2 linked regions of the Tribolium castaneum genome follow. The protein of the gene in region 2 binds, or shares a complex with, the protein of the main gene of each other region. Links are inferred from orthologs where the notes say so. Each region holds a gene or a part of one and is shown on either strand. Other genes may lie near its edges.

What was found.
Region 1: the proteins of Sfmbt (region 2) and Scm are in contact, whole or in part, in a crystal structure (PDB 5J8Y), measured with the Drosophila melanogaster proteins. The link is inferred for Tribolium castaneum from reciprocal best matches to the Drosophila melanogaster genes Sfmbt and Scm. Residues at the interface, in NP_001260432.1 of Drosophila melanogaster: Lys1176, Asp1177, Met1180, Met1185, Lys1186, Val1187, Gly1188, Pro1189, Leu1191, Lys1192, Asp1195; in NP_001247006.1 of Drosophila melanogaster: Lys831, His832, Glu833, Ile834, Asp835, Lys837, Ala838, Leu841, Leu842, Met846, Lys849, Tyr850, Met851.

The regions. Positions count from the first base shown.
Region 1 is NC_087400.1:404,549-408,901, reverse strand, and holds the start of Scm (polycomb protein Scm), read left to right. Parts: upstream 1-1,290; 5' UTR 1,291-1,510; coding exon 1,511-2,186; intron 2,187-4,037; coding exon 4,038-4,353. Other genes in the region: Non3 (ribosome production factor 2 homolog), read left to right, coding at 795-1,093. UniProt on the Drosophila melanogaster protein: Polycomb group (PcG) protein. PcG proteins act by forming multiprotein complexes, which are required to maintain the transcriptionally repressive state of homeotic genes throughout development.
Region 2 is NC_087402.1:1,710,691-1,714,955, forward strand, and holds the start of Sfmbt (polycomb protein Sfmbt), read right to left. Parts: upstream 2,947-4,265; 5' UTR 2,802-2,946; coding exon 2,795-2,801; intron 2,541-2,794; coding exon 2,338-2,540; intron 2,288-2,337; coding exon 2,044-2,287; intron 1,769-2,043; coding exon 831-1,768; intron 1-830. Other genes in the region: serine hydrolase-like protein, read left to right, coding at 3,294-3,342, 3,396-4,243. UniProt on the Drosophila melanogaster protein: Polycomb group (PcG) protein that binds to the Polycomb response elements (PREs) found in the regulatory regions of many genes.

The sequences.
Region 1 (4,353 bases), on a different chromosome or scaffold from region 2:
TTCCTCTGAACATTTTTCTTGTATCTGTAACCGTATTCGCAGCGTTTTGAAAAATATGGGGCAGAGTGCAAATCGGTAAAACTTTGAAATTTTTTAAAATATAGTTTAAGATATAATTTTTTCACTATTTTTATCTCATATTATTAAGAATTTGATTCTCTATCTGCCTGTATTTTTTATTTGCCTTGTGCTAACCGTTATTTAATTACAATTTTTATAAATTTATTGCTCTGAAAACAGACGGTAATAGAACAACTGCGCCTCTGGCGGCATTAATCGAACTATCGAGGACGGGGACGTTTTATTTGTACGTCGTTTTTTACGAGATTTTTTAGGATTGCTAGAAATATTTTATTTAAGCTTTGAACGTTTTCAGATAAAAAAATTCACAATCAGTCACATCTCAGTATCGGTCAATTTTTTTTGTATATCTTATTATTTTAAACACATATTAAAAAAATATATTGAATTTTCTAATTTTGTTGAGCCAAAAAACCTCAATTCTCGTCAAAGCTGTGGTTAAAGTTTTTATTTTGATTTAATAATACAGTTAAATTTAATACATACAGTTTTGCACCAAAAAAATGACAATTTTACAATTTTTTTATTTGTAATTGTACAATAAATAATCTCCCTAATAAACATTAAACATCGTATTTTTTTCTGGCAAAATCTCCAAGTGAACATATTGAAAGAAATATAAAGAAATAAACTTGACGATTTTTTTTCTTTATAAATTTTTTGAGTGTTTTCTTTTTTTTTGAATTTTAGAAATTATCAAATATTTTTTGCAGGTCCCAGAATAGACCTCAGCCTTCGCCGAAGCAAACTCCCCAGCGAAGACCTAATGAAAGAAGCCTTGCGCAAACCTAAAGAACTCAAAGTGAGCAAAAAGAAGAACATTAGTGTTGACGGCTTGGGCACAACCCACGGACGCATCCACGTCGGTAAACAAGAAATCAACAAAATCCAAACCCGCAAAATGAAGGGCTTGAAAAAAACCACCGACGAAAAGAAACTCAAACGAGCAGCAAAGAGAACAACTGACAATAACAATGTAAATAATAAAGTCAAAAAGCAAAAGCTTGGATAACGCGTCGGTGCAATCTTGTTGATGATTATTGTGTATAAATGGTTAAATTGTCTAGTTCTAAGGCTAGTTTTACGTGTATTTTTTATTTAATGACTATTTCAATAAACTTTTTTTATAAAAAAAAAAGGGAAAAATTGTGCGTTGTAGCGAAAATCCCCTAGAACACAGTCTAGTGATTTTGGGTTTCCATGTTGGTGTAATATACACAAACATAACGCGTTGTTGACATTTCGACGTCGTTGACATTGTGATGTATTTTTCCGTTTAATCCCGGTTTTGCGTCACTACCCCACTGCAGGCGCCCCCAGTGGTCTTTCCGATGTAATCGGTGCCGTAGCCCGTGCGACAGTTCTCCCCCGCCATGCCCCCAGCGCCCGCCTGATTTTGGAGGTAAACTGATGTTTTTGAAATCGTGCGATGTCGAGTAACCCCAACCCGACGCCGGGCAAGGTGCGGGGCCCCGGCCGGCCCCCCAAGAAGATCATCTCGTGCACGTGGTGCAACGAGAGCAAGCTGCCCCTCAAGTACGTGCTGCCGACCACCAACGGCAAGAAGGAGTTCTGCTCGGAGACATGTCTCGCCGAGTTCCGCAAGGCCTACATCAAGGGGGCCTGCCTCCAGTGCGACAACGTGGTCCGGGGCGCCAACAGCCCCTCGAAGGACTTCTGCTCGACGTACTGCATGAACAAGTACCAGAAGAAGGCCGAGTTGCAGAATCGGGTGGCTGCGGTCGCCCCCACGACGCCGCTCGAGGCCTCGCCGGGCCCCTTCCAGTACGAGACGTATCAGCCGTTCGACTGGGACGAGTATCTCAAAGAGACGAACTCGGTGGCGGCGCCCGCGAGCTGCTTCAAGCAGGCGGTGACGCCGCCACATAACGAGTTCAAAGTGTCGATGAAGTTGGAGGCGTTGGATCCCAGGAATGTCACCTCCACGTGCATTGCCACGGTGATCACGGTCCTGGGATCCAGGCTCAGGTTGAGGCTGGATGGGAGTGATAATAAGAATGATTTTTGGAGACTGGTTGACTCGAAGGAGATTAATCCCGTGGGGCATTGTGAGAAGTCAGGGGGGATGCTACAGCCCCCATTGGGTAAGGAAAAAATTAACAAAACCAAAATACAATGTTTTGAGTCTGAAATAATGTTTTAGAGACAATTTATTTTTTGTTATTTATAAATTTGCAGTTTATTTGCTTATTAATAAAATTATGTGGTAATAATTCTACTTAGAACTATAAGTTAGGAGACGAAACGAGATACAAAATCGCACCCAAAGATGTAGTACCGCAGTGTAAAAATGAGGGCGCTTTCAGCGTTGTGTCAAATCGTTTTAAATTAATTTAAATTCAACCAGTTGACTAATTACTTGGAAAAAAAATACAGAAATATTGAACTTTGCATTCTTAACAGACTGAGAAAAACTGACGACTAAAATTTTCATGAGAAACATGAGAAAAAAATTATTTAAAATTAAAAATTTGCACTTCGACTCGTATTTTTCAAAACGCTGCGAATACGGTTAAAGATACAAGAAAAATGTTCAGAAGAAAGTTGTAGAGAATTAAATTTCCTTTAAAAAAGTCAGCGAAACCGTATCTTTATCTTCAATAGTTTAGGCCCTAAAAACGTTCAAGCGACAGATTTCCTTAAATTTTTCGGTGGTTGAGTATTGGGAAGTGGATTTATACCCAAACCGTTGAAGATAGAAATATGGTGTCGCGGACTTTTTTGTAGCAAATTTAATTCTCTACAACGTCGTACCTTTCACTTTTTTGTATCTTTAAAAGTTTTCGCAGCGTTTTGATAAATAGGCGACGGTGCCCAAAAATTATCACTTAGAATTATTGCGTTCTTTTTGCAAACGCAGCGAATACGGTTGAAGATACAAAAAATTGAAAGACACGAGGTTGTAGAGAATTAAATTTTCTACAAAAAAGTCCGCGACACGATATGTCTATCTCCAACGGTTTAGTTATAAATAAATTTTCCAATACTTGACCATCGGCAAAATGACGGAAATCCGACACTTGAGCGCCTTTGAATGACTTTGGGGCCTAAATGGTTGGAGGTAGACATATGGTCTTGGGGACTTTTTTAAAGGAAATTTAATTCTCTACAACTTTCCTCTGAACATTTTTCTTGTATCTGTAACCGTATTCGCAGCGTTTTGAAAAATATGGGGCAGTGTGCAAATCGGTAAAACTTTGAAATTTTTTAAAATATAGTTTAAGATATAATTTTTTCACTATTTTTATCTCATATTATTAAGAATTTGATTCTCTATCTGCCTGTATTTTTTATTTGCCTTGTGCTAACCGTTATTTAATTACAATTTTTATAAATTTATTGCTCTGAAAACAGACGGTAATGGAACAAGTGCGCTTCTGGCGACATTAATGGGGACGTTTTATTTGTACATCGTATTTTAAATTAAACTAGTTATTGATTTGTGAACATTGTTTTAATAATTAATTCCTAGTAAAGTGTCTCAAATTTGAATAAATATATCGTACGTTTCGTGGAAGTATTTAAAGCGATAAAAACTGTTGTTTTGTTCGGTGGGATATTGATTGAAGTGTAAAACAAATGAATAATAAATCAAGTAAAGGGAGTGCTTTTAATCACTTGTCGAACAAACTTTAATTAGAGAGAAGTAAATAATAGAGAATACTAATGACTGTTCTAAGCCTTGTAGCTGTTATCTAATGAATAAGTGATACTATAAGGAACGCAACACTGTTAAAATACAAGAAAGTTTACCTTTTTTCACTTCAGAAAAAAACAAACAAACAAATTTAAACACTTTGACATGAGGATTTCAATTTTTGCTTTCTCAGTGAAAACAATGTGATAAATTATACAAATATGTAATAATTAATAAGTTTCTCAATTTCAAGTCTCTTGTCTCTTGCAAAAACTGTATGAGGACAAAAAAATTTCAGGTTTTCGCATGAACGCGAGTTCGTGGCCGATGTTCCTCACGAAAACGCTCAACGGTGCCCTAATGGCCCCCGCCAACATATTCCAAAAAGAGCCCCCAAGTCCCAAATGCAACCTATTCCAAGTTGGGCAAAAACTCGAAGCTGTTGATAAGAAAAACCCCCAATTGATATGTTGTGCTACAGTCGGTGCAGTAAAAAACGAACAGATTCATGTTACGTTCGACGGCTGGAGAGGTGCTTTCGACTATTGGTGCCGTTACGACAGCAGAGACATTTTTCCGGTCGGATGGTGCGCCAAATCGGGGCATCCGATGCA
Region 2 (4,265 bases):
TTTAAATTTAAATAAAAATTCGAGTTGTTAAATAAAAGTGACTGGATTGTGACAGCAAAGGGCCAAAAGGTACGAAAGTTTAGAATTAATAATCGTTTTTGCGATCTTGGGTGTGTCACATTTAAAATTTCAGTTTCTAAATAGCTAAGCACTTATTTCAAATAATTGGCGTTTAGCAAAAGACAAAATTTATTTAATTTAAGAATTTTTCCTCAGTAAAGAAGACGAATAAAGTTTTTATCGATTTATCTCTGAACAATTTTTTTGCAGCTCACGTAAGACCACTAGTTTGTTAACCACTTTCTGTGGTTTCCTTTATTTAAAACTAAAAAGACTAAAAGCGAGTATGTATATTTTGGAGTTGGATACTATTTATTTAAAAATTTTCCTTCCATAAATTTGACAAATAAAGATTTTGTCAATTTAATCCGAAAAAAATTAGTCAGAATAACTGAATTATTTGACCATGTTTGCAAATTACATTTTTTGTTAATGACGATTTATCAATATTCTTACACAATGAATATTCTAATGAACCGTTTGAGTTTATTCAGATTGTTATAAGCTGTTGTTACAAACGGACGCCTATAATAATTAAATTATTTGCACTTCTTGATTAAAATTTTCAAGTATTTTCAAGACAAATTGTTATTATTTTCTGTATCGTTTTAAATAAGTGATCAATGCGTGTTTTCCATAGAGAATAAATGACTACAGTGCCTGTAGACAGAAACTAAAGTATCTTAGTGCAAAAAATAGCGTATATATCTCGGGACCAAAGTGCCTTAATCCCACTCTATAATATACTATTTTTCCATCACATCACCCACCTTCTTTGCCCAGCCAACGGGATGAAGAAGCGGCGAGTCCTCGTGACACCAAAACCCCGCATCATCCGACGGCATATTAAAATACTTCACATTCAGCCTCTTCCCCACGATTTTATGAATAATGGCAACCTTAACTTGCGAAATTCTATTTTTGTCGACAACTTCTAAATTAAGGCCGCATTGAAATCTAGACTTAAGACTATCACTCGCTTTATTGCTAAAATTCGACGGTAACGTGCGTGCCCCCGTCAACCTCTTGCTCAAAAAATCCTTCCAATCGTTATACTTGTCCTCGATCGTTTTCGGCGGAATCAGGGGCTTCCCCCTCGTGGCGCACCACCCGACCGGATGCACCTGATTCGAACACAACGAGACCCAAAAATCTTTGGAATCATTCGACCCGAACCCCTCGTACCGCAGCAACGCCTTATACCCCACGATTTTTAAAACAGTAGCCACCCAAAACGAGTCGGGAAACGCCTCTGAGACGTTATCACAGTCGGTATTTTCCACTTCGACTTTCATCCCGACCATGATATTCTCCCAAATGTCGGACATGGGCGCGTGTTTGAAACACGTGACAGGGGCTGCCACGAAATACTGGTCGTTTAATTGCGAATCCCAGTCGTGCGAGTTCGCCAGTTCGGAGGGCTTGCGACGGATTAGCGGGACTGTTTCGTCGATGGGGGGCAGCACTGGCGGTGGGGGCAGCTGGGGGAATTCCTGGTCGACGACTGTGTTGGCAAAGTCGTCTTCGGTTTTCATGGTGAAGCGGTGTTTGGCGAAATGGTGGTGTTCGGGGGTTTGCTGCTGGGACAGGGGCAAGGGCTCGGGGATCAGGCCGCTGTAGCCGCGGGCGCAAGCCATGCTGCAGAAGCGGCGCTCTCGGGTGTAAAAGGCGTGCTTGACGCCGATGGCGCCGCACTTCTCGCAAACAGCTGGAAAAATTCAACATTTTGTCAATTATTATTTTTTAATACTTTTGATTTAACCAGCGGCTTAAGCATGTTTCAATATCTTTGTAAAGATGATTTACTTTCTTTTGTGTAGTAATAAAGAAAAAACGAAAAGTTTTTATGAGATTTGGTAAAAAATTACCAGACCTGACAACATGGTCATAAGAAGAAAAATTTAATTTTGTCCGTTTTTTACAAATAAAATTTAACACCCCAGCGTGAAGTCCGTGCCGTCAAGGGGGTTGTGGGCAACTCACCAATTCCATCTTTTTGAATTGGTATGACTGAGGGGTCCGTATTGCTTTGGTAGGCTATTGGTGTTTTCAAAACCAACCCAGGGTGTTTGATTGGTTTGATTTTCCGCGTAGAGCAGGGCAATGTTTGCGTGGCAGAGTTTATCATATATACAGGGTTCTGACTATCATCTTCGGCATAACTTGAGTCGTTACTTTCGTGCTTCATGTCGATATATTGCATCATATCTAGGTTTTCCATAGCGTCCTAAAATAACCCACTAAGCACCAAAACAAAGCACAAAGAGCTGGCTTTACCATTTGCGAGCTGTGGATAGTGTGGATATCGTCCATGGACTGGTTGGACATGCTGTGTATGGATGGGGTGAAATATGGGTTCTCGTGCTCCAGCAGCATGTCCGAGTTGTCCCCGGACATGAGTTCCATGGACATGTCGGGGTTGGGCTGCCCAGCACCCATCCAGACCATGCCCATGTCGGCCACTCCGGGCATTGTGTACACTAAAATCAATGTAATTGTCTAATTATATAACCTACAATTTTAAAACGGGGCAAAATCAATCGCTCGAAATCTATTATTCAAGATTAAATCCCAATCGATAAATAACCAGCTCACACCGAGTGATTATTCAATTACAAAGCCAATTGTAATTACAAACAAAGAATGCAATGTAATTAACCAGAAGAATGGCATGCAATTCTTCGCCGTTTTATTGGGACTGGACGGGACCTATACTAGATAATCAAAATTGTACCGTTCATTTCCGATGGCCAAATTTATTCCTAACTAATGCGACAGCCGAACTGTGATAATTTTCATTTATAAAATGTGGTAAAATTTACACTCAGCCTGTCCACCGAACGCATCATTTGTGAATTTTTTGAGAACACCTGCTGCCAACCACGCACCTCCGCCGACAAAAACCCCAAGCCGGGCGCCCAATTCAAAACTCCAAAACATTATCACTCTTATCAGCATAACATAATAACAACTTATGATTCATTATCACACGTAATGAGCCCACAATGACTTAACATTTTTTTTGCCCAAAATCTGTTATCAAAAATGAGACGCTTTATTGCTGTTTTATTGTAATGATCTGGAGACGTGACGCAAGAGCAAACCTTGTAACTTGTACCTGTGATAAAACAATAATAAATAAGCAAAATTAGTTATTAGAACAATATTAAAAAATCGTGTTACGAATAACCGGGTGCCACATCCACACAAGTAATTGATAAGTGATAACCATAATGAACACTGAAGAAATCACAATAACGGTACCTTGGGGCCACCTGGCAGGTAAATAACCCCACACCACTAATATAATCACAACTGAGGTTATGTCACCGTAGCCAAAATATGGGGCAACAAAAACGACCCTCTCGTGCTCGTTTTCCACGGAATCATGGACAACGCGGGCTCATTTGACCGCCTAATTCCGCTCCTCCCCAAATCATTTTGCTACATTTGCTTCGACTTGCCCGGTCACGGAAAATCGAGCCATTTCCCCCCGTTTTTCCCAGCCTACACCCTTAATAACGTCCTAGTTTACAAAATAATAGTCCAGTATTTCAAAAAAGAAAAGTACACGATTTTGGGGCACAGCTACGGGGGCCAGATCGCCTTTTTATTCGCCCAACTGTACCCCGAATATGTGGAAAAGCTGATAATGCTCGACACTATCCACTTGTTCCCCGTCCATGCGGGCCAATTCCGGCAAAACCTCAGGGACAAGATGGACTTTTGCATCGAATTGGACCAGAAAATTAAAACTGGGACCCGTCCAACGTACACTTACGCCGAAGCCTTACAGAAACTGCAGGACCAAAGGGCCAACGGCTACATCAGTCGTGAGGCGGCCGAGGCGCTGCTCCAAAGGGCGATTGAGAGGACCGACGACGGGAAATACGCCTTTACGGTCGACCAGAGGATGAAACAGTTTATAAACCCGATCCACGATTTTCGGTACATTCTCGAAACGTTGAAAAAGTTTCCGGTCACGTGCCCCGTTTTGATGGTTTTGGGGCGCGACTCAGAGTTGCAGCAAATGTACATGAAAGGGGTCACAAACTTCTTTAAAAAGTATAGAAACATACGGATAACTTATGTGGATGGGCACCACGATGTGCATAATAATAGCCCCGAAATTGTGGCTCCGCACGTGTCCAAGTTTTTGGTGGTGAAAAAAGCGAAATTGTAATGTTGGGTAAAGTTTAATTAAT